Tamandua tetradactyla: one gene and its partners. The protein of the gene in region 3 interacts with the protein of the main gene of each other region in a pairwise test. Links are inferred from orthologs where the notes say so. Each region holds a gene or a part of one and is shown on either strand. Other genes may lie near its edges. The genes, in order: BHLHE40, ZBTB44, SMYD1 and FAM204A.

Evidence for each region.
Region 1: the proteins of SMYD1 (region 3) and BHLHE40 interact in binary tests that used the Homo sapiens proteins (3 or more experiments, as listed by UniProt). The link is inferred for Tamandua tetradactyla from reciprocal best matches to the Homo sapiens genes SMYD1 and BHLHE40.
Region 2: the proteins of SMYD1 (region 3) and ZBTB44 interact in binary tests that used the Homo sapiens proteins (3 or more experiments, as listed by UniProt). The link is inferred for Tamandua tetradactyla from reciprocal best matches to the Homo sapiens genes SMYD1 and ZBTB44.
Region 4: the proteins of SMYD1 (region 3) and FAM204A interact in binary tests that used the Homo sapiens proteins (3 or more experiments, as listed by UniProt). The link is inferred for Tamandua tetradactyla from reciprocal best matches to the Homo sapiens genes SMYD1 and FAM204A.

Annotation. Positions count from the first base shown.
Region 1 is NC_135335.1:44,546,990-44,554,099, reverse strand, and holds the start of BHLHE40 (class E basic helix-loop-helix protein 40), read left to right. Parts: upstream 1-4,087; 5' UTR 4,088-4,166; intron 4,167-5,824; 5' UTR 5,825-6,075; coding exon 6,076-6,155; intron 6,156-6,328; coding exon 6,329-6,398; intron 6,399-6,659; coding exon 6,660-6,767; intron 6,768-7,110. UniProt on the Homo sapiens protein: Transcriptional repressor involved in the regulation of the circadian rhythm by negatively regulating the activity of the clock genes and clock-controlled genes.
Region 2 is NC_135334.1:5,832,259-5,839,627, forward strand, and holds the start of ZBTB44 (zinc finger and BTB domain-containing protein 44), read left to right. Parts: upstream 1-4,358; 5' UTR 4,359-4,443; intron 4,444-7,369. UniProt on the Homo sapiens protein: May be involved in transcriptional regulation.
Region 3 is NC_135343.1:60,149,550-60,156,477, reverse strand, and holds the start of SMYD1 (histone-lysine N-methyltransferase SMYD1), read left to right. Parts: upstream 1-3,926; 5' UTR 3,927-4,069; coding exon of another isoform or gene 4,070-4,119; intron 4,120-6,928. UniProt on the Homo sapiens protein: Methylates histone H3 at 'Lys-4' (H3K4me), seems able to perform both mono-, di-, and trimethylation. Acts as a transcriptional repressor. Essential for cardiomyocyte differentiation and cardiac morphogenesis.
Region 4 is NC_135339.1:80,715,983-80,723,793, reverse strand, and holds the start of FAM204A (protein FAM204A), read left to right. Parts: upstream 1-4,789; 5' UTR 4,790-4,871; exon of another isoform or gene 4,872-5,183; 5' UTR 5,184-5,379; intron 5,380-6,483; exon of another isoform or gene 6,484-6,633; intron 6,634-7,811.

The DNA of each region.
Region 1 (7,110 bases), on a different chromosome or scaffold from region 3:
TAAAACTGAAAATATCGTTGAAAGAAATTAAAGAAGACCTAAATAAATGGGAAGCTATATCCATTTCATAGACCAGAAGATTCAATATTGTTTAAGTATCTTTTTTCCCTACACTGATCTATAGATTCAATGCAATTTTTCTTTGAAGAAAGAAACAAGCTGGATCTAAAATTTATAAGGAAATGTAAAGGACCTGTGAAGACAATCTTTAAAAAGAAAAAAGCTGGAGAACTTACACTACCCAATTTAAAGATTTCTATAAAGTTTTAGTAAACAAACAAAAGTATGAAAACCTAGACAAAGACGTTAATAGAACAAAATAGAGAGTACATAAATAGAACCACACTATTATCTAATTGGGAAGGGAAAGTCTTTTCAAATGTTGCTGGGACAAAAAAAAGGAAAAAAGAATCTCAACCTCTTTTTCACTCCATATACAAAAATTTAGTTGAGATAGGAAAGACCTAAATATAAGAACCACAAGTATAAAGCTTCTAGAAGAAAATATAGTAGAATATTTTCATGATCTTGGGGCAGGCAATTTTTTTAAAAAAAGACAAGCATACATGAAATAACCACAAAAAATCAATAAATTGAACTCTATCATTAAGAGCATCATTAATAAAATTAGTGAGCAAGGCATAGACTGAGAAAAATATCTGCAGTGTATGTTTCTATCAAAGGACTTGGAGTTAGAATATATAAGGAACTTCTGTAGGTCAACAGTAAAAGGATAAGGTGGCAAGGCACAAAGCCAACATACAAAACTGGACTGTGCTTCTATATACAATAAAAAGACAAAATAGCTTTTAAAGAGGGTAAAAGACTTGAACAAATACTGCGTAAAAGAAGATATATAAATGGTCAAGAAGCATACAGAAAAAGGTGTTCAACCTCATTAGTCATCAGAGAAATGCAAATTAAAACAATACACCATCAATTCACACCCACTAGAAAGGCTAAAATAAAAAAAATCTGTCCAGACTAAATGTCGGTGAGGATGTGGAGTGACTGGAATGCTCATATACTGCCTTTGGGATGTAAAACGGGACCACCTTCTTGGAGATGTTTGGCAGCTCACAATAAAGCTAAGCATGCATTTAACCCATGACACAACAATTCCACTCTTCAGTATTTATCCAAAAGAAATGAGAACATATGATCATAAAAAGAACTGTAAGAGAATATTAATAGCAGCCTTATTCAAAGTAGCTCCTAACTGGAAACAACCCATATGTCCCATCAGCAGCAGACTGGATTGTATTATATGCACACGAAACAAACTGTATTATATGCATACAGTGAAACACTCAGTAAAAAAAAAAAAAAAAAGAATGATCTATTAATCCAAGCAACAACATGGAAGAATCTCAAAAACAGTGTAAGCAATGGAAACCTTACACAAAAGAGCACATTCATTTATATGAACTCCAATACAAGGCAAAACTTATTCACTGTGATAAAAATCAGAACATGATTGTGTTGGGGGATAGGTGGGAGGCTGGGGGTGGGGGCTTTATAGATTGGAAAGTACCATGAGGGAACTGTCTGGGATAGTAAAATGTTCTGTATCTTGTTTTGGGGTAATGGTTACACAGATGTATGCATTTATCTAAATTCACTTAAGATCTGTCCCTTTAACTGGGTTAGTTTCATCCCGATAAAACAATTAAAAACAGTTTTTTAAAAAGATCAGAGAATGAGGAAAGTGATTATACAAAGGAAACAAAGTAAGAATTAATAGGTGCTTTCCTGAAGAGAGACATCTAAGCCATTGAATCAAACCAGGACCAGTGGTCGAAGCAGTTTCATTTAATATTTTTATATGTACTCTTGTAAGATCTTCAACTGTGCAAATGCTACTGATCTCTTTCTTGGGGGCGGGGGGGCGGTGGTGGAACCAAAAATACAACACTGTCTCTAGTCTAGAGCAGTGTTTTCAAATTGCATATTAGGATCTATTGGTCAGTTGTGAAATCAATTTAGTAAGTTAAGACTAGAATATTTTTCTTTTAATAAAATAGACTGGGAACTATAAGAATGCATTGCATATACCAAGGGGAAATACTGTTTTGTGAATTTTTTGTTTGGAATCCATTGAACTGGCTTTTCTTTAAATGAGCAATAGTTGCTCAGGAATAAGGGAGAGAGAGTAGTGGCGGCTTTTTGCTATAGCCCAACCAAGCCTCGGCTTCCCTCTGTGTAAATGTACATAAGATGTGTGTGCATGCATGTGTGCATGGGTGTGTATTTGCGTGTGTGCTGACTCATGATGTAAAATGAATTTTTCATTGTGGGCTGTGATAAAAAATATTGAGGATCTGTAAATGAGCAAAAAGTGATGTTTGAGCAAGAATGATGTGGGCTCGTGCAGGAGGGGCGGGGGTGCTGTGGGCTCTTACTTCCTGCTCGGGAGGTATCAAGGAGTCCCTACAGATGATGAGCCCCACTAGGAGTGAAAAGAGAAAAATCTTGTCCTTCCCTTGTACAAAATTACATTCTTTCCTCACTCCAAAAAGACAAAACAGAGGGTAGGGCTACAAAATGGCAGGGTTACCCAGTGCAGTTGCTTGCTGCTACACTGCACAACTCCAGAGGGTGCTCTTACACACACTGAGTGTGAATGGCTCCCCCTGGAATTGAGCAGTGTACAACCTGCACAACTCTGCCAGGATTTCAAGCTCAATAGACCTGAACACTAGTCCCAGGTCTTGTCCCAGGCTATGTAACCAGGGACAGGTTATTTAACGTCTCTGAGCGTCCGCTTCCCTAAGAGGTATATTACATATCCTTCTGTTCTAGTTCAGTGTCTGTCACATAGTGGTTCTCAATAAACATGTGTTAAACGAATGTAAAAAGGAGCTAATATCTGTGCCTGCCTTATAAAGCAGTGGTGAGATTAACATATATAAAGTTTTCAGTATACAGTCTAAAATTAGCATACAGAATCACCAAGCAAGTATCTACAAAAAGTGAGGGATTAAAAACATTAAGATTATTCAGGATGGAAAGACGAATGCTGGAAAGGAAATGTTTTGTTTTAATTAATAAAAAATAATTATAAACTATGGAGGGGACAGAAACAGATTTTTTTTTTTAATCCAGATATGGTTGATCTTTGGTGTGTGTGTGTGTGTGTGTGTGTGTAGGGGAGTGGGGATACTTCTTGAGGCTTGGAGCAAATAAAAAGTAGGCAATGCATACAGTTTATCTTCAATTGTAGGAAAGATGAGGGCAAAAATAAATATATTAAGGTCAAAGAATTCTAAAAATGATATTGTCATGAGCTATGATTAAGGAAACTGAAATGTTTAGGTTCACACTTGGCTTTGGGGGAGGGTGGGCGTGACAGCCAGGGGACATGTGTTTCTTCCTCTCCTAGTACTTACTTCCAGGTGGAAGTGGTTTTGACGCAGTCATGACAGCTCTTCACCCTTATTAAAGTCACACGGTGGCGCGGGTCACCGGTAGATTGAAAGCGCACACCCAGGACTACTGCAGCCCCCGCTCAGCCTCTGGTCCTGCTGCTCCCCTCCAGGCGGGAAATCGAGCTGCAGTCATTTTCTCCAGAGATGGCTGATAAGAAAAGTACGTTCCGGGAGGGAGGGATCGCTGCAGCCCCCGAAGTGAGGTCACGCTAGTTAGCAGTTAGGGAAGGAGGCATTTCTCACACTTGCTAATAAGTTTGACGCTTGTGAAACATAAACAGGAAGTGGGAGCTCTCCAAAGCGACCTGAAGGGTATACACCACCAGCTTGGCCAACGTGTGAATCCCAGTTCTCTAGGTTGTCAAGGACACTGCCAATTAGGACTTCCCCCCACCCCCTCCCGCAACTGCACCGGGGCTATTCTTCACCCAATCCCGGCAGTGACCCCAATTTTTTTTCCGTCAACCCTTCCCACAGTTAGGTCACTCAGCAGCGGGGTGCTGGCCGGAGGTGCGGTGGGAAAGGCTTACAGTCATCTCTCAACTACCCGAATTTTCAGGGCAGGGGAGCGCAGAGGTCAGTGAAACCCCAGCCAGGCCTTATTTTAGTCATGAATTTCCACTAGCTCCCTCCTCTGACGATGTCAGCGCGGCTCACACCGCTTGGTTGGAGTTTCAGCCGTTTTCCCTGCTCCAGGCTGAATTAGAAGGTCACGGACACTGGACTTTTCCGGGGCAGGTAGGCGGGGGCCTCGGGCGGCCCAAGTGAGATTGCAGAAGTATCCGGCCGCTGAAGGACGCCTTCGGGCCTCTTGGTTCATATTTTTAAAACGGCATTTAAAAAAACCTTTTTTGTGTCCTTTTTCCTCGGTCAGTGGTCCCAATATAATTTTCCCCGGACTCCCTTCCCCTCATTGCCCAATTTATCCTCCTCCCGGTGGTCCCTGTAAGTTCCAGGGCAGTGTTTGATTCACCTTCGCTGTCTCTAGCAGGGCATAGAGTAGGTGGCTCAATAAATGTGCGTCGCCTGAAAGAATGCTAAGTTCTGATTCTGATGGACGAATAGATTTTTCTTGTCTCTTTCCTCCTGCCATGAGTGCTGACCGCAAAGAGCCGCACTGAAGTTCCTTGTAGGCGGGAAGACCGCCGGCCAGGGCTGGCACCCCGCGTCCCCGGGGTCTCCGCCTCAGGGCCCGCGCACAGGAGCGCGTAGCCTGCGGCGCTGCGGCTCGAGCCCCGGCCACGTGAAGCGTCACGCCCTGCGCTGCTGCAGGGCAAGCGCCGCCACCGCAGTTGTGTAACGTTGCAGTCGGAGGGGAGGAGACCCGGGAAGCCTCTGCTCGGGAGGGGGCAGAGGGAGGGAAGGAAGAGGGGAAGGAGCGCAATGCGCGGCGCCGGGTTGCTTTCCGCGCTGAACTAGATGGAGTCGGGGGCGGGGGCATCGGGGCACCCAGTGGGATGCGTAAGTGGGTGCCCGCCCGCCGGCAGGCTGTGTCCCGGAGCAGAGCTCCCGGGAAGCAAGGGGCTCCATTCGCACACCCTCCACGGTCAGGTGCGCGCAGCGTGCTCCGCGGCGGCCTCGGCTGCCCTTGTGCTTGGCCGCCAGCCCGCTTCCCATGGGGTGACATCCGCCCCGCCCCTCGGTCCCTCCCCACGGCTGGCGATTCCAGGACGCGGGGCTGGGGGGTGGGGGCAGGGAAGCTGGGGCGCAAAGAACCCCCAGCGTCTGGAGAAAGGAGGGGGTCCGGCGCTGAGCGCCGGTTCCTCGGAACGGGCGGGGCGGGGGAGAAGGAAGAGGGTTGGGCCGGAGCGATCGAGGGGATATTCCTCTCCTGGCTTGAGTCAGACGCGGGCGGATCCGTCCTCCCCCGTTCCCTCCCGGGAGACGGGAACTTACTTCATTTCCCTGGGGCAGGTTCGCCCACGTTACCAACCCTCCCCCAGCTCCCCGGTCCCTTTCGCGCCCCCCACCCGGCTGGGCAGGACCCGGGCCACACTGCCACCCCCTCTTCTGGGAAAGGCGGCCGCAGCCGCAGACACCTGGGGGCCGGGGTTGGGGGTGGGGGCTCCCTCGCAGCCGCGGGAGCTTTGTCCAACACGTGAGGCTCATGTGATGAAGTCGGGGGAGGGCGGGCAGGTCGCTCCTTCCCTCCCCGGCAGCGGCCAGACGTGCCTGGAGTCACAGGGTAGAACACGTAGCTCCAATCCACCCACTCGGCTCCCTTTTAACCCAGCCCGCCGCCTCTCCATTACTCCTCGGCTCGCCCCACACACGCACACACACACACACACACACACACACTCCGCCCTAACCGTCTCCCCCCCCCACCCCCACCCCGCGCCGTGCTCCCTCCCGCCTCCCCGCCCGCCCCACTTCTCATTCACTTGGCTCGCAAGGCGCAGACGGCACTGGGAGCACACACCACCAGTCTGTGCGCAGAGCCGGAGCCAGAGACCGCGGGAACACCGGGCCATGCACGCTCCCAACTGAAGCAGCGCCGCGAAGTCGCTGCTCCTGGCAGCCCGGTGGATTTCAGAGAGCTCAAACTCCCAGAGGAGAGACCTTCGAATCCCCCTCCAGGACAGTCTTCACCCCGACGCCCGGCTAGCGCAGAGAGGAGCGCGTAGTGGCCCCGGCTCGCCGCGCCATGGAGCGTATCCCCAGCGCGCAACCGCCCCCCGCCTGCCTGTCCAAAACGCCAGGACTTGAGCCCGGAGACCTACCAGGGTAAGTTGGCACCCCTTGACCACTTCAAACCCTAACTCCAGCCCTACGTTCTGCGGCGTTCTTTTCTCTCAACTTCGAGCACCTCCAGTAGTCCTGGGGTTCTTGCTCCCCCAGAGTGGCCGCAGCCCGTGCGCAGGCAAACTCACCACCCTTCTTTGCACCTCTCCCTGCAGGATGGATTTTGCACACATGTACCAAGTGTACAAGTCGAGACGGGGAATAAAGCGGAGCGACGACAGCAAGGTAAGCGCATCGTGCCCCTGAGGACCCGACGCCCTAGCCCCTCCTGCGTTCTGAGCTTCCAAGAAAAGTTTTCTCGCTTTGAGGTTAGCGGGAGGAGGGGATGCGAGATGCGGGCTCGGTGCCTCTAGTGAGTACTTGGGGGGAAATCGGCAGGCGGTGATTCTGGGTTTCGATTCTACTCCCCTGCACGACCCTTCTCGCGTCCGGGGTGCTTCGCATCCCGTTACCCAGGCGCCCACTGTCTCCCCGTGCGCCTTGCAGGAAACCTACAAACTGCCGCACCGGCTCATAGAGAAAAAGAGACGCGACCGCATTAACGAGTGTATCGCCCAGCTGAAGGATCTCCTACCCGAACATCTCAAACTTACAGTAAGTGAGAAGCTGGCCCCTCTCCAACCCAGCTCCTCTGCCGCGAGGGCGGGCGGGGGTGGGCGGGGGGGGGGGGGGGTCACTCGCCGCCTGCAGGCCCTGCGGGGAACTGCAGACCGGACAGCCGGATTCACGGGCGGTGGCTCAGTGTGTTCCGTCCACCTTTCCCAGCCCTGGGATTTTCTGGAAGCCTCATGCAAATGAGGTGAGAACCACTAGGATGTCTCCAAATAATAGGCTCCAACATTGGCTCCCCTCCATTTTTTTAAGAGTTTAAGACTTTCCCTTTTAGTGCTTTTCAGGGTTAGCTAGTTTTCCTGACTTAAGAAGCAGAGAAACAGAC
Region 2 (7,369 bases), on a different chromosome or scaffold from region 3:
GATTCAATTTGCCCTCATCTAAATAGGATCTTTGAAGTTCCCACTTACAAATGAGTCCACACCCAAAGGACCAGGGGTTAGCATTTAATATGTCTTTTGTGGGCGACTGTTTGTTGTAGCCCAGGGCCTGGACCCCCCTACATGGCCTATAACAAACCTGCTTTAGCCTAGAAGGGAAGAACATAACCACGGATGGAAAAACAGCATTGATTGTATCTTAGTCTTAAACATTAATCTTAGTAAAACATCAGGTCTTAGTCCCCTTTAATGATTATACTAGATATCCAAAGTCCTTTTACTGCATGGAATGTCTTTGTTCTAAAATCATGTATTATTCCTTGCACCCACCCCAACCCTGTTCCTTGCTTAGCACTAAACTTCCAGACCAGCTGCCACTGGAGAACCTCTCCTCCAATAAATCTATGTCTACTTCTGTACCTGGCATGTTTCTCACGTGCTGTGGATGAACTTGGTCTGGGCCCAAACACAACTCAATCTACTACACAGGGTATCTGTTATTCTATATGGTGTAGTTGCATTGTGTTGCTCAACTGGGTAGAGGATGAAATAGAAACACCAGAAGTGCAAATTGAGGGTAGGAAAGAGTTTAATTTTTGCATGTGTCCGCACACACACACGTGTGTATGTACACACATGGGCTGGGAATATGAGTCTCCTGTATGGCAGGCGAACATTATATCACTGAACCACATCCATGCGCCTGAGATTAATCTTTTAAATATAGTTGGAGCGATATGATAATTGAGCAAGGCTGGTACATGTGGCATGAGAAACTCTCTGCCTTTGGAATTGCTCAAGTCAAACAAGGTTCTTTCTCATGAGGAGAAAACATTCTTTCTCTGGAAGAAGTTTTGGACTAAATAAGTTTCCATTCAGCTTTAATAGTTAACCCTGAGAAAGTGCCATCTTTTTCTGAATTTGGTCCCCAAACAGCTACAGTTGAAATAAACCTGTTTGACTGGAATTTGAATTCCTCCAAATCATCCACAATAGGTTAATAATTAAAGGTTCCTCATACTATCTACCTTTGTATCACCTGTGTTCAGAATTCTGGTTTCACAAACTCCTCCCAGGAGTATTATTTAACCTATGCCAAAGAAAGGTGAATCTATTCCAGCAGCCCAACAGCAAGTCTCTACTAGCTGGTAAAAGAAAAGGTAGAACGCAGCAGGCAGAAGCCCCAGAAACCGACCCTGCCCAAAGCCAAAACAGAGACATGGCTACCTGCAATAATCTTTGTATATTTTCTCACACCCTCTCCAAGCATCTAACATTGTTTGGGCCCTTGAGGGCTCCACAATTAAGGATGAATTGAATCTCCAGATCTGGGCGTGGAGTGAGAGTAGGACACCAATTTCAAAAGAAAAAGGAAAAAAGAAAAGTACTAAAGGGAGGAACCAAGTGAAGAGATGTGCCAGTTTGAAGCTTTTATGTACCCCAGAAAAGCCCTGTCCTTTAGTCCTCATTCAGTATTGCTGGGTGGAATACTTTTTGATTGTTTCCATTTGTGGGTGGTAACGTTTGATTAGATGGTTTCCATGGAGATGCGTCTCCACCTATTCAAGATGGGGTTGCTTACCAGAGCCCTTTAAGAGGGAACCATTTTGGAAAAAGCTTAAGAGCCACCAGAACCAACAGAGCCCCTGCAGCCAAAGACCTTTGGAGATAAGAAGGAAGACACCCCTGGGGGTGTTCCTGAAACAAGAAGCCAGGAGAGAAAGCTAGCAGCTTTTAAAACTAAAAGAGGAGATGAGAGAATACACTAAGGATGTAAAGAAGGATTTTATAAAAGCTTAACAGTAGCTAATTTTTCTTGCTTAATTTAGCTATTTACATATATTTTAGCTTCTGAATGATAGAAATATCCAGCAAAAGCATTTGTGTCATTTTATATTCACTGCTATGCATTTGGTGTGAGTTAAGAATTGTAAAGAAAAGAGTTATGGGCCCCATCAGGCTAAGAAAAACAACCCGGGACTTCCCAGAGGCGGTCATCTGCTTCTTGCAACAGTGTTGGTTATCTGCTTCTTGCATGAAGCAGCTCCTGTGACTCATGCTTGAAAAATGTTTGTTATCTGCTTCTTGCAAAAATGTTTATCTGCTTCTTGCAAAAGTGTTTGTTATCTACTTCTTGCATGAAGCAGCACCTGTGACCCATGCTCGACCCTCACCCCCCTCCTCCTACCCCTTAAAAGCTTCCCCAAACCCAGGCTCGGGGCTCTCTGTTCCTGCGCGTTCAGTGAGCCCCACGCATGTGTGGTAAATAAACCCCTTTGGGTGTTGCATGAGAGAACGTCTCTTGGAGTCCTCCTTTGCGTGGCAAAACTCTCGAATTCTTACAATGTGATGGTATTGTGAGCCATTGGTCTTACACTATGGATGGATTGTATGTGCGTGAAGATTTCTCAATAAAATTTTTTTTAAAAAATCATGTAATTCCTACAGTATTGTGCAAGTCTTGACGCTGCCAGAAGGCTGTCCTGATTAATAAGACACAGAAATCCTGTGTATAAAATTCAGAACTATTTAACATTATTTAAACCGGCGATTTGCATTTAAGAAACTATAGGGTCAATACCTAGAGGCCGATCTTCTGCATTTCATTAAAATTGAGTTACTGGTTCATTTCTCTCCTTGGGCAACTCATTCCAGCCGTAAAGTAAAATCAGGAGGATAAAAGAACAAACCTCCCAGTAAAAAAGAAAAAAGTAAACATAAAATGCTAATATTAGTACAATGATTATTATCATTAAAAAACAAAAACAAAACTCAGAACACAAATGCCTGGACCTAAATCGGACCTTTCTGATTTTCCTCGTTTGTGAAATGGGAATAATAAAGATGATCGTGGGAATAACAATTAAATTCATGTATCAGTGTTGTTGTGAAGACTAATTAACATCCTAGTTATTTGAAAACTTGATGGAAACGTAAAGGAGGATACAATTAGCAGGTTTTAAAAGTTGTCTTTATTTCTCAAGCAGATTTCAAATGTTACGATTAGGGTGTTAGGGTACCTGGTTGCTAGTCTCTCACACTGAGAATTAATGCGAAATGTCGACAAGTGTTTCAGAAGAGTAATTCACTCGGACTTCAGAACGTCAACCCACTTGGAACAAAGCACTTGAGAGAGAAATCTTTCTGTTTAAAGGCTGGAAGCTGGGGAAAACAAAAGATGCAAATGAAGACAGCCCGGGGCGCGTCTGGCTACCAGGATCCCACCCTCGCACTGCCTCGAGGGTCCGGGCAGGCGCCCTCCCCCTGGGCGTCTCGGCGGGGCAGCCGGGACGGTCCTTTTCATCGTCGGGTCCTGGCCCGGAGGGGCCGGCCAGATGGGGGAAAGTTCGGATCCAGGGACTGGGGAGTCTGAACATGGTACACGCTCCCCGAGTCCTCCCCAAGCAGTACCGCCACTTTGGGGTGCCCAGCAAATAAAGTGCCGGTGTCATCTGAGGATGAGGCGCGGTGGCGGAAGGCATGGGGGCAAGCCAGTTCTCGGACCCCTCTCCCGGCTGCGGGGTCGCCTCTGCACGGCAGCGTTTCCCTAGGAGAGGCTTGACCTCCCCGGTGGGTCCGGGCTGTGCTGTTCCGGGTTCAGCCCCGCAGCAAAAACCACTGGAAGAAACCGGCCTTTCTTTGCTTAATTCATAGGGAAGAAGTGCGAGCTGCGTGCAGAACGCCGAAAAAGGCGGATCTTACCAAGTGGAAAGCAAATTGAGCGGAGGCGGGACGAGTTGGGGGGCGCTCCTACGGCACGTGGAAACCCATGTGCGCGCGCACCCGGGCAAACACACCGCCCGCGTCCCGGCTCCGCCAGCGAGGCCTGACAGGCAGCCCTTCTGCGCCTGCGCGATAAGTCCGTGCGGCCGCCCCGCCCCGCCCCTCCAGCCAGCCCCGCCGCCGGCGCACAGCATTGTGGGACACAAACAAAGTGCCCCCCAAGCCGGCTGGAGGGAGCCGGGCGGTAGCAGCGGCGGCGCAGGGCCCGCACGAGCGGCGGCGGCTCCCCCTCCCCAACCTCCCCTCCCCTCCCCTCTCTCCCCTCCCCCCCTCCCCACCCCGCCCCGCCGGGACCACGCGAGCCGTCGCCGCGCTCCCTGCGGCCACCCGCCCCCACGGCCGCCGGTCGCGGCCCCCTGGGCCCTCGCTCCGCCCCTTGGGCCCGCCGGCCGCCGGGGCTGCGCGGCCACCCTCCGCCGCGCGCACTCCCCGCGGGGACGCGCTGGGCGTCCCCGCCGCCATGCCCCAGCACCAGGCCGCGCACGGGCCTCGGCGCGGCGGCCCGAGATAGGGCCTCGGCCCCCGGGGGGGACCAGGAGCCAGCCGCGCGCCCCGCCCTCCCCCGGGCCGCCGCCGCCGCCCGGGCCTGGCGGGAGGAGGAGCAGCAGCAGTAGGCCTCCGGGCCTGGCACCGCCGCCGCAGGTAACGGGAGGGCAGGCGAGCGCGGATGGCCGGCCTCTCTCGGCGCTCGGTCCCTCGGGCGCGCCCTCGGCAGGGCTGACACTGCGCGGGCGCTGTAGGGACCGGGGAGCCTTGTCTGTCACCCCCCCCCCCCCTCCACGCGCACACAGAGACTCTCCACGATGGCCTCTAACCCTTGAGGCAGGAAACTGGTCTTAGCCCACGCGGTTCGGGGGAAATTATCCCGATCTTCAGTCTGCGCACCCTGATCCAAAGGTTACCGCCGCTCACCTGGGGGGATTTTTAGGTGGGAGCCCTTGACCCGACTCCCCCCACCCCCACTCTGCCACGCTCCTTGTCTGGTATTGGAAAGAGGCTGGCACTTTTTTGTTGTTGTTTGTTTGTTTTAATCACACCTTTTTTTCCTGCTGTACCTGAAGATCATCCTCCATCTAGTCATTTTACTGCCGGCCTAACCAGAGCAAGGGGTTTCCTGCGTTTCGTGAAGTGACAAGTAACGTTAGAAATGATGAAATTGCATCCGTGTGAGTTCTATGAACTCACCGGAATTTAATCCAAATTTAGTCGAAAACCCAATAAATGTGTACTTTATTGGAATGGATCTATTCAATGAAGACAGCGACTTAAAATTTTTCAACAAGGGCGTAGATGTGCGTTGGAGTCAGGAAAACATTCTTTAACTTCACTTTTCTTAGTGTTTTCTTCGTATGTAGGCTACTACCAAAAGCAAACTACACAATTTGAAGCAAATACTTTATGTAGGTGACGAGTTTTATAATTTTCCTTTTTGTCTAGGGTATCAGTTGAAATTCTGAGATTTAAAAAAGTTATATGAATCTTCATATCCCGTATTATTTTACTTTAACTTCCGGTGGTTTAATACTACTTTTTTTTTTTTCTTAACATGGGCTGAGGCACCGGGAATCGAACCCGGGGTCTGCGGTGTGGCAGGCGAGAATTCTGCCTGCTGAGCCACTTGGACCGCCCAGTACTTAATTTTACCTTAAATGTGGTTTCTTTATCTTGGAATGTGAAAATAATGAAAGGAATGTTTTCCTTTATTCTTGTAGTTTATGATGATTGCAGTCATTATGGAAATTGTTTACTTGTATGCAACGTTGTGCTAGGCATTTTACTATGGAATCTTATTTCTCAGAGCAAGCTAATGAAGAAGGTATTACATTTTATAGATGAGACAAAAACAGTGATGTTAAGTAACTTGTTTTAGGCCACACAACTAATAAGTGAAAGAGATGAAATTTAAACCCAGAAATAATTTCAGTGTAGATAGGTGCACTTTCTACTGTATCTCCTAATAGGAGTTACAGGTATCTCCTAATAGAGTTAGAATGTTTTTAAGTTTATTATGAAAATTTTCAGCTGTACGAAGGCAGGAAAAAACATGCAATTATTACCCACCATCAACATTGAGGAGTACCGTTTTTGCTGCATTGTTCCCCCCTTCTTCTGTGTGTGTAACCATTTGAAAGTAAGTTGCAAACATCATGACACTTATATTTCAGCATGCATTTCCAAAAAGTAAAGATGTTCTCTGACCCCAGTATCATTACCACATCTATCAACATTAAGATTCCAATCCCTATCCAAATTTCCTCATAGCAAAAAGTTTGTCTCCTGGCTGGATTCAGTTGAAATTCATGCGCTGTATCTGGTCTCTTTTTAAAAAGAACATACTCACTCCCCACTGTTGAGTTTTTGTTTTGTTTTGTTTTTCCTTCTCGGACATCTGAGATCAAAGCAGTTGACTTTTGAATATTGTGGCATTCCCACGTTCTAGAATTATTTCCTCATAGTATCACTTAACTTTTTCCTTTATCCTCTGAATTTGTGTTAGCTGGAAGTTAATCAACGAAGACTTGATTAGCTTGAAGTAAACTTTTTGGGGGCAAGAATTTTTATAGGTGATGCTATTTACTTTGCATTACGTGATTTCATCTGTCTTTATTGAAGTGGTGACTGCCAGATATCTCCATTATCTAATCACCCTGGTGTGATTAGTGTGTAATAATGACACCAAGCCCATAATCCGTTTATAGCTACCTTTTGTTCAATGATTTGAGTACCCTCAGTTATTTTATTGGAGATTCTCTGTAGGAGAATTTTCTTTTCTCCTTTCCTTCAATACCTGGGCATATACTAAAGGTCTTCCTGAAATGCAGGTTAAATGTTTAACTTCTTCCCTTTCATCATCAAAATTCAGAGTCAAGACCAGGGTAATAGTCAACCTCTGATGGTGGCAAACAAAAATTTTTTTTGGTGGAGGGGGCGGGGGGTGTTCATATCACTATGTGAAAGGCAAACTCGCCAGAAATAAGTTGGGAACAAAGGAATTCAGGCAGAGGCTTTATTTCAGAAGAAACAGGGCCGCCGAGGCAGTGGGCAGTGGGCAGTGGGCAGTGGCAGCGTTTCAAGAGAGAAACAGCTGCCCCGGAGGTGTCAGGAGATAGGGTTTTCATGGGTTGGGGTTAGGGTGTTGGGGCAAAGGTTAGGCAGGTTCTTATTGGCTAGTTTTCAGAAACAGGGGGCTAAGTTTGGAGTTGTCAGCTTTCCACTGGTAAAGCTTAAAATTTAAGCGCTGCTTTAGGCATGCAAGGTTGTAAATGTCGGAGGGTGGATATTGAGTAAGGAGAGTTTACTGCAAGAATGAATATGCCAGAGGGTGGAGGTTGAGTAATGTGAGGTTATCGCAAGAGGGCGACTGCTGGAGGGTGAAGGAGATGCGGGCTGGTGTGAATCGGGGTGAGAGAGGCTTTCTGAAATATTTGCCAGGGGTAGGTCATGTTATAGGGGAAGGGGTCCTGTCCTCCAGGCCTAACACTGTAGACACAAGGATTTTAATTTCTTTATTAATTGTTTTATAGCCATTTGCAGTCTTGGTTCTTTTTGATGATTAAATTGCACCTAA
Region 3 (6,928 bases):
CACACTTGAGCTATTAATGCTAGTTACTAACCTTCCCTTTTCAGGAAAAGATTAGTATCTGACCTATGAGTTTGCTAAATTCTAACTATTTCACTAATACAACAATCTCAAAAATGAATAATGGTTAACCAGGTCATATTTCCAAATACAAAATACAAAAAAAATCAACAATTCATTAATTGTGAATACTAGCTACATGATTAATATTAAATGTATGTCTTTATTTAAACTCAGTCTTTGAACGCAATAATCCTAAGTACTCCGTGGCAAATTAGCTCAGGTCATGCTTGTAAAATTAGATTCTTGTGTAAATCCATTAGTTTTGTTTGGAGTCAAGACACATATCTTTCATCAGAAAGCCATCAAACACATGCCATTCCTTCCCATGGGTTAGTAAATGTGAATGGATCTGTAAGAACTATTAAGAAGGGGGAAAAAATCTCAGTGCTTATGTCCTAACATGTGATGAATACAGTAAGGGCAAGTTTAAGTTAGTCACTTTAATTCACATGCTGAGACCTAGTAAAGGCAGCAGATTTGAAACTAATAAACTATCATTAACGTCTCTCCAGATAGCCCGCCTCCCCAGCCTGTCTTCCCAGCTGCCAACATTAGGTTTACAACAGTGTGCTCTGGTGTGCCTGTAGCAAATAAAATGTCATGGGCAGAAAAACAAGGTACTCCTGAGAGGTTAGGAGTCTTTTACTAATCCATACGTAAAATCACATTTTCCCCCCAACCAATCTTTTTTTTTCCTTCTAATTTCACTACCAAGCACTAGCAGAGGCTTTTAAAGGGGCTGTCTGTGCCTAATTCACCAAACCATCCTCAATATTGAGCACAATACCTGGTACACAGCAGCAGCTGAATAAATGTTTTTTGAATAAATGTTAAGAGGGCTATTTGCTCCATTTTCTCACTGCCATTTAACTTGAATCTCTGATTAATATGGAAACAAAAGTAGGCATTTTTAGGCAATTGCTATGTAAATGCTTTAATGATTCAATAAATCAGAAAGGTCCTTCAACTCTAAATCTGAGTCTACTTCATTCCTTTTTTCCTTAAAAGAGGTAGATAAATAAGTTTTTGTTTGCTGCTGTTTTACTATGATTACTCAGGAATATCATGATTCGGTGAAAATTCACTGTTATGTCAAAAATATAAAAAACTCCATTGAATAAATTATTAAGTGTCCTGGAAAATTTTTTGACATCCTGACCATAAATTCTAGGTATGTATATTTCTTTTCGTGTAAGTCTAGCCATTTCGTATTTCTTCGGGTTTTTATTTTGAGTTTGTTTCCTATTTGTAAACTTTCAGTTTGTATTTCTTCCCTGCTTGTCAATTTCCAATCCTTACTGATTATTATAATAGTTTATAACTATTATAAACTATTATACCTATCACTATAGTTTGTGAAAATAGATTGGCAGATGCCTTCAAATCACTTTTAATGGTCCTATTAGGATCTTCAAAGTGAAAGTGGAACTGTAGTAACCGGAAGCATGATAATTCTTTGATATGTTTGGGATAAATCTTCTAACAAGGTCTTAAAGAAAAAGATACTGGCAAAGTACCAAGAAACATTTTTTCCTCTTCCTGTTTATCCATTATAACTGGCAATTATTAAAGGCTTTTATAAATATTGAAACTAAAAATATATTGAGTGTGTTAAGCAGTGTTAACATATGAAATATTTACCTAATTGCTAACTGAGTAGTTAACTGAACAGTTAAAGGATTTTAGCTGAAATACAGTGACAGGAGGTAATTTTTTAGTTAACTATTGTATTTTGTTTTTCAAATTCTAGCAAGTACTCTTAATTTGAACACAGATTTTACTACTCTTTGAATGCCATCTGACCACCTTATAGGTCAAAGTTCCTTATGTTTTATGAATTGTTGTTCTAGTACACAGCCATGCTATGGAAAGAAAAACAACTGGGAATTGTGAAATCATAGTTCACAATTTTAAAGCTCTAAGGGACCTCAGAGTGTGGATAGTTCCGGGTTTCTCAACTGCACACTACTGTCATTTTATGGTAGATAGTTCTCTGTTGTAGCTATCTTGTGCACTGTTGGATCTTTACAGGATCCCTGCCTTGCCAACGTGATGCCTGGGGCAACCACCAATCACAGTGGTGACAGTCCACAATGTTCCAGACACTCCCAAAGTTCCCGGGGTAGGGGGGACAAAATCACCACCCGGACATGGGCTAGTCCAATCCTCCCAAGGCAAAGATCAGAAAGTTTGGAGCACCTAGCACCAGAACCTATACTAGCCAGACTCCTCCAGTTTTCTCACTTGACCACCTTGAGGAGGTACAGAAAGGTTACTGCTAACATTGTGTGAACTGAGTTATTTGTCTTTAATAATTGCATGTATTAAAAGACATTATAAACAAACAAAACAAAATGTCCAGTGTGGCATTAAGCAGTTTTTCCATGAGACGCTGTTTCCAAATCTTCCTGTGATCCAGCCCTGGGAGCCAGACTGAGTTGAAGTCTTTGACACAGCAAGCTATGTACTTCGTTGGTATAAAACAAAAAACCCAGAAGATTTTACTTTTTATTTCAGAATACTAATCCAGGCTGAAGGAAGACACGAATCTAGTCTTCCAAAGGTTGCCTTCACTGAGAGACTATATAGAACACCTCATCGCAGCATTTTTAGTGAACGGCATTTATATGAAGTGCTTATAGAAAAGTTTTTAAGAGATTTATAATTGCTTTGTCATTCCTCCAAAGCGAAAGGTGTAAAAGTTTTATGGAGTAGCACACAGGAATGCCATATACCCAGTAAGAGGGTGAAAACTACATTATTTTATGGGTATTCCTCCAGGAAAAAAGCATCTAAAGTTTTCAATAGTCTTCTGGTTTCCGATATTTCACTGAGTCAAAAAGCAACATCAGGACACAGTGTAAATACCAAGATCTGCAACTGGATTAAGTGCCACCACAGCAAGCCATTCCCAGGATTGCTTCAAGGCCTTACGCAGCCGGAAGACTGGCAGGTATTTTGTAGAAACTCAAATCTTAGTTTATCTGAGATGGCCAAGAAACAGAGTTTTGTGTTGGGGGTAATGTGTTGATGGATACAGAGGAAAACTCAGATCATTATCAAGATGGCCTGTAAACATCAAAAGCTTGTCTTTACAGGGCCATACCTCAAAAGGCCAAGGAACTTTCCCAAGTGATACCAACCTTCCCGAGTGATACCTCCGTCTTCCTTCCGCCCCGGGACCCTGCAAGTCTAAAGTGCCCATATTACTTCCTACTTCTCAACTCCTAACTCACTGCTCCTGGAGCCGCCCCGAGAGATCTTTACTTTTCAGGGTGCGACTTGTCCTTCTCTCTCTCCACTCAGCCACCGTTCCCTTCCCCGACTCTCAGAGGCTCAACCTTCTCCGGGCCGCTCGGGTCCCCCCAAACCTCGGCCTCCTCGCTGCGCTGGGCGCCCCTCTCCGAGGCCGGGAGACGGGGAGGGGAGTGGAGGAACCCCGGCCGCGCCCGGGCCGGCCATGTCGCACGCTCGGACTCGGGGCGCGGCCGGGCTGGAGCGGGGGAGTCAAGGGGCTGAAGGCCGGGCCGCCCCCGCCGCCGGGCGGGAACTCACCTTCTCCGAGGCAGGGGCGGGCGTCTACAAACTACTGTCCCCCTCCCCGCCAACGCCGCCGGCCGGGAAGCGAGCCGGGGTGGAGGTGGCGGAGGCAGGGACAACCGCTGCCGCCGCCACCGCCTCCGCCGCCGAGCAGGCGGTGCGGGACGAGGAGGCGGAGACTGTACTTCCTGAGGGGAAGTCGCCGCCACCGGCCGCGGGTGAGTGGACCGCACCCACACCATGGCGGCGGGGCGCACTAATGCGCGTGCGCGGGTCGCCGCACGGCCGTGATGGCCGGAACGTGATTTCACATCGCCCCACCCCCTTGCCCGCGTCCCTCCGCCTCCCCGTAGCCCTGCCCCTCGCCACCTCCTACGGCCGCCCCTCGCCCCGCCCCTCAGCTCCACCCCTTTTGCTGCCCCGCCGCCCCTCCTCCCGCCCAAAGGATACGCTTGGGGCTGCCGGTTAGATGGCGCGGCTTCTGGAGGAACCGTGGAGCCTGTTGAGGAGAAAGAAGTCGTAAGTCCGCGGAGCTCACCTCCGAAACAGTCTCAAGAAGATGTGGTCCCCTACTTTGTCTGCTTGACCTTTAGCACGAGAGTAGGTTAAGCATAAATCTTGGTCTTGGTGCCGTCCTTGTTCATCATTGACCTGTAAATGACCGTTATCCCTCACATACTCTCTCTCGCACATACACGCACACGTATAAGTACGTATATGTATAAATCTCATCATTGCCAACGTGAAATAACTAAGCTGCAAGGCAACAAAGGGGTCTTAGAGTTGCAATTCAGAGAGCACGGATTCAGACAGCAACCCCACCATGTTCTGTCTTGGCATTTCCAGGCAAGGGTTTTTAAAGGAAGAGAAGATTACCCAAGTTGTTTGTGGTTGGTCATTACTGGGGGTACTCCAGTTGTCCTACAGGGTAGTTAACTGAGTTCTTTGTCTTATGGTGTGTTTATGGTGCCCCAATATCGCTAGTGTTTTCAGGAACATTGTTACATGGGGCTTTGTGTTAACAGACAGAGGCCTGACCAGCTCTTGAGACACCGGTGTTTCCAAAGAGAGAGTTTATTACTAAGCCTGCAGGGGATCAGATGGCCTGTCAGCCCCAAAATCTGTCTCCGTAAACTACAGTGATTCTGATAGTTTTACAGTATAAAAAGATGGACAGGTATTAGGATAATGAGCACAGTAGCTTCAAATGAAGTAATTAGAGGTGATCTAATTATTGAGCATATGCAGGTTGATTATATGCTTAGTCATAGAATGTATGTAAGAAAGTGGCGGCCTTAGTATGGTGATGGGCATGGTTTTTAGTATTAAAAATTTTTAGTATTTAGGTCATTTATAAGCTTAAAGTCTAAACTACTACACATGTCAGGCAGACCATTTTAGTTAGGTCCAGTTTCAGTTATCAAGATAAGTTTGGAATTGGGGTGGTTACTTCTGGGTTGACCCAAGGCCCTTCATTAATAAACATTAGGGGCTGTCTTTAGTGATCGTAAGACTCTTAAAATTGAACTGGATAAGTGGGTACAAGTGAAAGTAGCCTCAAAGTCCTTATAATCACAAGGGCAGCTGGATTATAGGTCAGAGATTTCAGGTGTTTCCCTCTGTCTACTCGAATATACCAGAAAGTGAAAAAGGAATATCTATATAATGATTTAGTAATCATAATCATTCCTTAAATCTTAATTTAACTTCTCATTTATATTTGCATACTGTGGCAGTATGTGATATCTGTTTAGATCTGTGTAAGAGTTGTCTCTAAAATGACCTCCTGACCTTCAAAATGACCTCCTGGCTCTATCTTAAATCTCTTAGCCACAGTAACTCTTTTTTTTTTATTAATTTTTAATTTTTAAAAAAATAAACAAATGCAAACATTCTTAACTTATGATCATTCCATTCTACATATATAATCAGTAATTCACAATATCATCACATAGTTGCATGTTCACCATCATTATCATTTCTGAAAACATTTGCATCAATTCAGAAAAAGAAATAAAAAGACAACAGGAAAAAATTCATACATACCATACCCCTTACCCCTCCCTTTCATTGATCACTAGCATTTCAATCTAAATTTGACATTTGTTCCTCCTATTATTTATTTGTATTCCATATGTTTTACTCATCTGTTGATAAGATAGATAAAAGGAGCATCAGACACAAGGTTTTCACAATCACACAGTCACACTGTGAAAGCTGTATCATACAGTCATCTTCAAGAAACATGGCTAATGGAACACAGCTCTACATTTTCAGGCAGTTCCTTCCAGCCTCTCCATTACATCTTGACTAACAAGGTGATATCTATTAAATGCATAAGAATAGCCTCCAGGATAACCTCTTGACTGTGGTTGGAATCTCTCAGCCATTGACACTTTATTTTGTCTCATTTCACTCTTCCCCCTTTTGGTCGAGAAGTTTTTCTCAATCCCCTGATGCTGAGTCTCAGCTCATTCTAGGATTTTTGTCCCACGTTGCCAGGAAGGTCCACACCCCTGGGAGTCATGTCCCACGAAGACAGGGGGAGGTCAGTGAGTTTGCTTGTTGTGTTGGCTGGAGAGAGAGAGGCCACATCTGAGCAGCAAAAGAGGTTCTCTTGGGGGTGACTCTTAGGCCTAATTTTAATAGGCTTGACCTATCCTTTTTGGGGTTAAGTTTCATATGAACAAACTGCAAGATTGGGGGCTCAGCCTATTGCTTTGGTTGTCTGCACTGCTTGTGAGAATATCAAGAATTCAACTTGGGGAAGTTGAATTTTCCCCCTTTCTCACCATTCCCCGAAGGGGACTTTGCAAATACTTTTTTTTGGCAGTGAGTTCACCTGCCAAGTTGGCTTAGAGAGAGAGGCCACAACTGAGCAACAAAAGAGGTTCTCTGGGGGTGATTCTTAGGCATAGGTATAAGTAGGCTGAGCTTATTCTGTTCAGGAATAAGTTTCATAAGGGCAAGCCCCAAGAATGAGGGCTAAGTCTGTTGATTTGATTGTCCCCACTGCTGGAGAGAATATCAGGAGTTCTCCAAATGGGGAAGTTGAAAATTTCCTCCTTTTCCCCCGCCCCCCAAGTCCTCCTAGGGGACTTTGCGAATACTTATCTGTTCTCTGCCCAAATTACTCTGGAATGTATCAGGGCTTCACAATAACCTGGGCAAACCAACAAGATTCCATGTTCTTATGGTATTCAGCTAAAGTCAGCATACAAGATAAATTAGGTAATATGCTGCCCAAAATGTAAATTTAGCACCAACTAAACATCTCTCCCTTTGGTCTCATACAGAAGTTAAAGTTTTAAAATGTGGATGATATTGT
Region 4 (7,811 bases), on a different chromosome or scaffold from region 3:
CTAGCTGACCTAGTACGGCTTTGTTGCTGTCGCTGTTTCAAATGTATTGAGGATGTGGTGCTGAAGGTGGAAAGGAGGTAACAGGTAACATAGAACATGTTTGTGGTGAGTTTGAAAGAAGTAAAGGTATTTTATGGAAGTTCATGGTAAAGGACATATCCCTAAGGGTTGGGGTGAATTCATAAAATGGAATGCAGAATATAAGTGGAAGTGCTCTAGGTTTTGAAGGATGAAGAGGAATTTAACAGGTAAAGAATAGTAAAGGTACTCCAGGCAAAGAAAATACAAAGTGCTAAATTCCATCCAGCCTACTTTTCCAATCTAAGGACTTCTGTAGGGCTTACTTATATCATAGATCTTATATTTTTGTAATTATGACAAAGAATATATCATTTACAACAATGTTATATGTATCAATTAGACTACAGACATCCAGACAGTTCATATACTTCTTTTATATCCTCTATAATCCCTAGCCTGATGCTGAGCATTGGGCACAAATCAATCTGATAACATATCAAAATTATGTCATCCTTCATTTGTATGTGTAAGGGAAGGAAACTAATATTTATTGAGCATTGACCACATACCAGGCTCTGCCTTAAAAGCTGTATATGTGGCCCTTCATTAGAGAGATTAATCAGGCAGTGGGGTGTTCTGGGAGAAGGTTTTAGGAAAGGGGACACTAGCATAGACTTCAATGTAGCAAACGAAGAAGAATCAAAGAGGTACCTTTGATGGGATTGCATCACTTGCTAGGTACTGAGGAGGAAGAGGCGACACTTTTCTCCTGAAGCCTCCCTTTTCATGAGCTCCCACTAGGTATATCATCCCCTAGGGGCAATGACGTCTATACTTTATTGACTGCACTGCATTGGGATTTATCCAGACCCTCCTCTTAAAGAGGTAGTTTGTGACAGTGGGAAGAACTTGAACTTTAAATTCTGGTGAAACTTCCCCACCTTGTGTGATGATTTGGAGTTGTATATACTCCACAAAAACATGTGGAAACAAAAACATCTTAAACTGAATCCCTCTCCTGTGGGTGTGAGCCCATTGTAAGTAGGAACATTTGATGAGGTTACTTCAGTTCAGGTGTGGCCCAGGATGGGGCTTAACCCTATTACTGGAGTCCTCTATAAAAGAATGATATTCAGATAGAGAAAGCCGCAGAGTGAGCAGCCAGAAGCCAAAACAAATAGAACCCAGGAGAGAAGGGAGAGGCCAGAAGAGATGATTCCCATGTGCCTTGTGAAGTAGCAAGCTGAGGGCCAAGGATCACCAGCAGCCAGCCCCAGAATATGAATCTTTGGGAAGAAAGCATTACCTTGATGATGCCTTGATTTGGACTTTCTCTTAGCCTCAAAACTGTAAGCAAATAAATTCCCATTGTTTAAACCAAACTGTTGCATATTTGCTTGAGCAGCATTGGAAACTAAAACACCATGGTTCCACACTGTACTAGTGTAACATTATGCTAGCTTCTTAAACTCTCTAAGCCTTAGTTTATCTGTAAAATGGACACAATAATAACTACCTATGTTAGCTTGCAAGCTGCCAGAACCCAATATACCAGAACTGGAAAGCCTTTTTAAAAGGGGGATTTAATAAGTTGCAAGTTTGAAAATGTCCAAATTAAGACACCAACAAGAGGTTACCTTAATTCAAGGAATTCCAATGGGTCAGGAACACCTCTGACAGCTGGTCTCTTGCTCCTGGGCTCCAGTGCCTTCAGCCCCTATTCCTGTAGGGGTTGCTCACTTCTCCAAGGCTGGCTTTCATATCTTGGCTTCGGTTGGTTCTCTCCAGGTTCTGGCTTGCTTAGCGTCTCATGGCAACATCTGCTGGGCTCTAAGCATCTCCAAACATCCGTGTCTCTATTCTCCATGTTGTCGGCTCTGCTCTGAAGTTTCTGTTAGCTCTGAGGCTTCTGTCCTTCTGTTGTTTCTGTCTCTCTCCAAAATGCTTCCTCTTTTAAAGGATTCCAGTAATCTAATCTAGACCCACCTGGAATGGGTGGAGTCACATCTCCATTTAATAAAATGCTAATACCCACAATAGGGTGTGTCACAACTCCGTGGAGTTAATCTAATCAAAGGATTCCAGCCTACATGACTGTATCTGGATTAAAAGAAACGGCAGCCTCCACAGTATTGACTCAGGATAAAAGCATGACCTTTCTGGGGTTCATAATACCTTCACACCAGCACACTACCTCACAGGGTAATGATAATAATAATAATAGATGCAAAGTACCTAGCATGCAAGAGTGATCAATAAACCTCCCTCTTCTGTTGTCCCTCTCTCCCTCTCGTGCAACCTATTTGACCTGAAGAATTTGAAAGTAATAGGCATGAGCAGTGAAGTAAAGGTATTTTTCTTTGGTCACATTCTATGGTACAGACATTTCTCTTCCTCAAATGTCAAATCTTGCCCATGTCATGGTGTTAGTTTTTCAACATATTCCATGTAAATTAACATTGCAGATATGTCTGTTTGCAAAGTTTAAAAACAAATCCAGACAGAGAAATTGTCATTGGTTAGTCATGAAGGAAATTTAGAACTCCCTGGTTTCTATTTTTTTTGCATACCTTACTAAATCACTTTTTCTTCAATGCAGAAAAGAGGCATTTTGTACAGTAGGGAATTAACTATTCTTTCTTTCTGCAAGAAGCACATTTATATGTTCAGCAAAGGTATATTTACTTTATCCAACTGAGAAAAATTTAAGAGATTTCATTATATTTGGGGGAATTTTTCATCAATCATAGAGTGAGCAGACACCAGAAAGTACTTCACAATTAATCTTTTAAAATATGGCGTGACTTGGAATCTCTACACTAAGAAAAAAATATAATGAAAAATATAATGAAAAACTATTCAGAAACTATAATATTTCTTGGCAAAGAAAAACTGCTTTGTGATTTTTTTAAATACGTTTGAGAATTTAAATGAAACTTACATGTTTGAAATTAGTGCCAGATGCAACACGGTTAAAGCACAATTCACTAGCTGCATCAGGTATTTCAGTATGATTTAGTTAAAGATATTCAACAATTCTCTGTTTCATAGAAACCTTACAGATCCAAGTATTTCATTCACAAAATGCATGGCTTGGCAGGTTTCCAGGACAGGAATTTGCTGGAGGGAAAGTAAATTTATTGCTTAAAATAAATCAAATGACTGATGTTTTCCCAGAAAACTGGCAAAACAATAATATTCAAAAATATAAAACTCTTACGACCAGGAGCCAAAGAAAAGGCTGAGCTCTTTAAGTTTATTATAGGAATTCAATGATGTCATAGAGTCAACAATCAGATATACGAAACTTTCCCAGTTTACACTGAACACCTGATTTTAAAATCCATAGATTTGAAGGTTGGACTTTCCAAAAATCTTTGATATGAAATCTGGAATTTTTAAGTGTTTGGAGTGCTTATAATTATATCCCTCCTCTATCCATTGCACATTTATATGCAATAAATAATGAGCATACTCTCATGGAATATATTTAGAAACAATCTAGATCATTCTTAGACTAGCTAATATTTGCCTTTCAGCCCTCTTTCCCCATTCTAGTGACACTTCTACCATCACCGGTAAAAGCCCTAATACAACATCTACAAAAGCACTTTCATACAAATCCTTGCTCTTAACCCCTTAACTTTTTAAGGATTTGGATTCAAGGGAAACCCTATTAAGAAGCTGGATACATTATTTAGCTAGGAGGATTTCATACCGACCCTTAAATTATTTATCCTTGCTTCCACTCTAGAATCTCCAATCAGAATGTGAGCATGAGTGGGACTTAGTTATCTAGCCCCAAGCCTGTGAGTTCAGGTTTTACTGATGCTGGGGTTTTAGGAAACCCCACATCTTGGCACATCATCTCGAAGACATAGTGAGCAGTTAAATGATATGCTTTTATTGCTAATAACAACAGTAACAACAAATAGCTAAGACTTGAAATTACTGTAGGACCGGTAACGTACTAAGGATTCCACGTGCATTTTCTTATGTAATCGTCATCACACTAAAAGATCGACAAGTCCTCTCGCCAATCGCTCCATCTTCTTCCAGAAAACAATCTCGAAAAATTAAAGGATTTCTAAAATAGCCTCGCCTCCCATCACTATCACACCCCTCTTTTTTATTTTCTTCACAGCCTTTTAAAACTTGGGTTTTTTTTTTTTTTTTTTTTTTTTGGTGCTTATTTTCTATTACCTCCGCTCCCCGCTCCCACCCCCCACCCCGACCTAAAACAGTGTTTGGCGCGGTAAAGCGCACTTAACTTTTGGCCATGCCATACAATTCAAATAGTCAATCAAACAGCTGGGCCTCCACCAGACGGTAAGCACTTTCAGAACAGAACTGGGACTTTCTTAAACAAAGGATGTCACGGTGCCTGGTACAGAGCGGACGCTCACTAAATATGTGCAGAAAGGAGAGGAGAGGCAGAAAGGAAGGGAAGGAGGAAAAAGCAAAGGAGACAAAAAGGCTGAATGAATGAATGAAAACGGTTCAGAAGGGCCTACAGAGCGTCTGCAGCGATTCTCTATTCCCGTGGGATGAAGTCAGGTCAATCTCTAAACCAGCACTTTCCCCACCCAGACGCACTGGCATAGGGAGGGAAGGAAGTAAGGCCAAAGCCTACAAAGACGCATAGATGAAAGGAGAAAACGGGGGAAAAGAGGAGGAAACAAACAAGCAACCTCCTTTATTCCAGTCTAGGAGTGCGCTGCGAGGCTGGTTGCCATGGCGACCTTGTAGCCAGAACGGCCCCATCCTATTGGCTGAGATGTAAGAGCCAATGAGAAGGCAGGATGTTGACGGCGTCTTAAGATGGCTGCTAGGCGGCCGGTTCCTAACTGGTGAGTAGGCCTTTTGCCGGGATAGTTCCGGGCCCTCTCGAGCTTCAGCGAGACAGGTCCGGAAGTTACCAGTTCGGCAGACGAGGGACGAAGTTGGGCAGGTTCACAGCTTCTCGGCCGAGGCAGGCTACAGAAGCCCTCAGCCCGGGCCCACGGGGTGGTCGGCGGGTTTGGCCTCGGCTTTCCTCGAAAGGGGCGTCGCGGTGCTTTCCCCAGCCTGTTAGTGGGAGAGGGTTTCTCCGTCCCACCCCAGCCAGAGGGAGAGGGGGTAAGGTTCTCGGTAGGGGAAACAGCTCATGTTTACAATTGCAGTAACCCGGGAAACACCTACAGTTATTGGAATTGTCAACTGCCTAGAGATTCTACACCGGAATCTGCAGCGTTCTTCCCGTTTGGGGGTTGAATTGTGGCACTGCCGCCGGAGAGCCTGCAGAGTTCCGGGTTGTGCAGCCGAGCAGGAAAAGGTGTATTTTTCTAGAGCCACCCTCTTGCAAAAGTCTTGAACCTTGTAAGTATTCTCAGCGACATCCGATTTAAAATGATCCTTGAAATGTTATTAGTTAATTGTAAATCTTTGCATGAAGGGTCTTTGGTCTGAAGAAGTGTTTGTCCCCGTTTTTCCAGGCCTTGACTAGACAAGCAAGTAAGCATCCCCCTTAATTAGAACAAGCATACATGCAGAAGTTCTGCTAAATAAATACTTTGTCTGGGTAATCAGGCTGGTAACTTAGATTTGAAGTCGGGCCTGTGATTCAGTTGTTCTTTCTGTGTCTCTTTGAGAAAAGAGAACTCATTTCATGAAAGTAAATACAGCAGTTCCATTAATGTTAATATTAATGATACATGCTTTAAAATATTATAGTTAAATAATTAATTACAAGTCACAAAAACTGATTATTGTTTAACATTACTTAACATGATCAGATTGATGGGCGGGTAATTTACGATTGTTATGCAAGTAAGATTAGATTCAGTTCAGACAAGTTCAGATTTCTGTGATAATTTCAACTTGGATACAAGTATGAATCAGACAGCTTTGATGAAAATTGAATTGAGTTTCTGGATTCTTAGAAACAGGAGTCATTCTTTGAGTTGCTCAGATTATATCTTTTGGGTTTTGGTTATGAACAGCTGTCTGATCTTCCAGAAAATATAGTATTCTCACTCAGACCTCTGAATGTGACTTTGATGGATGTCACTTAAATAAGCATAGCAATTTACATAACTGTCTGTTCTTAAAAACAACTGTGCAACAACAATCTAGCGTATTCTTCAGACCTGCTCTCAAATCTGTCTTCAAGAGTATAATTCTACTTAGACTATGCTTTCTAAAAGCTTATCATTTAAGCCCATAGCCTTCTGAACATTGTGTAAAATAAACAGAGCACAGTGCATTAGGTCTATCACAATGCATTAAGCAAGTCAGTTACTCATCTGTAAAAGGGGTATAGATGTTAATTCCTAGTGGAAGGGTCATTGAGAGGATGGATGGTAAACCAGTGCCTGTCACATTGTTTGTATGCCATATGTAGTAGTGACCTGCTTTTGCTTCCTCTTTCTGCTTCTGTTTCTTCTGTCGTAGCTGGGGTTTCCTTCCCTTCACTTTCTACAGAGCATCTGTTTGAAGTGCAGAGTCCTGAAAACTAGCAATTTTGGCGGTGGCTGCTAGGTGGAGGAGAGGAACCTTAACTACTGGGGTCTTGGGGCTTAATCGGTATTGCATCTGACTGGGAGAGCAAGGAGTGTTGCAGCAAGGATTGAGGTGACAGTGCATTTGGGGCATACATAATATTAAGATCCATAAAGAAATGTTTTAGAGCTCTAAAGCATCTCACAGATCATCTGATCAAACCTTTCATTTTATAGCTTAAGAATGGAGACCCAGAGAAGTGTAGCGGGGACTGAATGATTAAATTAAAATTATTTGAGTTACATGCTAAAAACTGAAAGCTTATGAATTGATATATGAACTGTTATATGGGCTTAGCTATAATCTGCATTAAAAAATTAAGTTTCTATCTATTTCTCTGTGTACTCCGTGTCTTGAGAATAGCTGAGTGAATTTTCACCACATTTAAAGGGTAATTTGGAATTATCTGCTTTAAAATAAAGGAATATACTTTGAAAGGCAGAAAATCATTCTCCAGAGCAGCCAGAACAGGAATAATAAGAAACCTGACATGGTGCCAACTGAAAATGTATGAATGATATGTACATTCTGTGACTAGAAAGACTGTTTTCAAACATGACCCCAAAACAAAAGTCACTAAGCAGCCACCCCCATTGACTTATTTGTGGTGGAACTGCTTGTCACATAGACAGCTCCACGGTGCGGGTACGGAGTGAGTGGAAGCTGTTATTTATGACCACTGAGTTGCCAATGTGTTTTTTTTTTAAAATCACAGAATAACACATCACTTTAAAGATTTTCAGGAATTGAGTTCAAACATATACTGTATTTGGATTTTGCCTTATTTTATGGATTTGGACTTGAATTCCACTTTTTAAAGGTTATTTTAATTTTTCTTTTTGCTGTGAGCACACGCACATAGCTCTCATACCAGACAAATGTCTTACTGAAGACAATTCTTAACACCACTTCAGTGACAGATAAAAATAGATAATTTTGAAAAGTCCAGAAATCATTTGAAAATGGATAACTGATTGAGGACTAATGAGGAAAGCCATGCCCTATTCAAGGCAATGGAGACCACTCCATGGGGTGGCGCCCATTTGGGTACCCAGGACACAGACTGTTATCCTGCTAGGATGCTGAAGCAGAGGTCCAGTGGGAGACCTGTGTCTGTGAGGTACATGCCTTTCAAAAGCAATCAAAACAGAAGTCCAGGCTGAAAGATATTTGACTGCTGATGGACAGAAGCTTGCCACATGTGTAGAATAGCCGCTCCATCAGGTTAGGGATTTTCGCCTGTTTTGTAT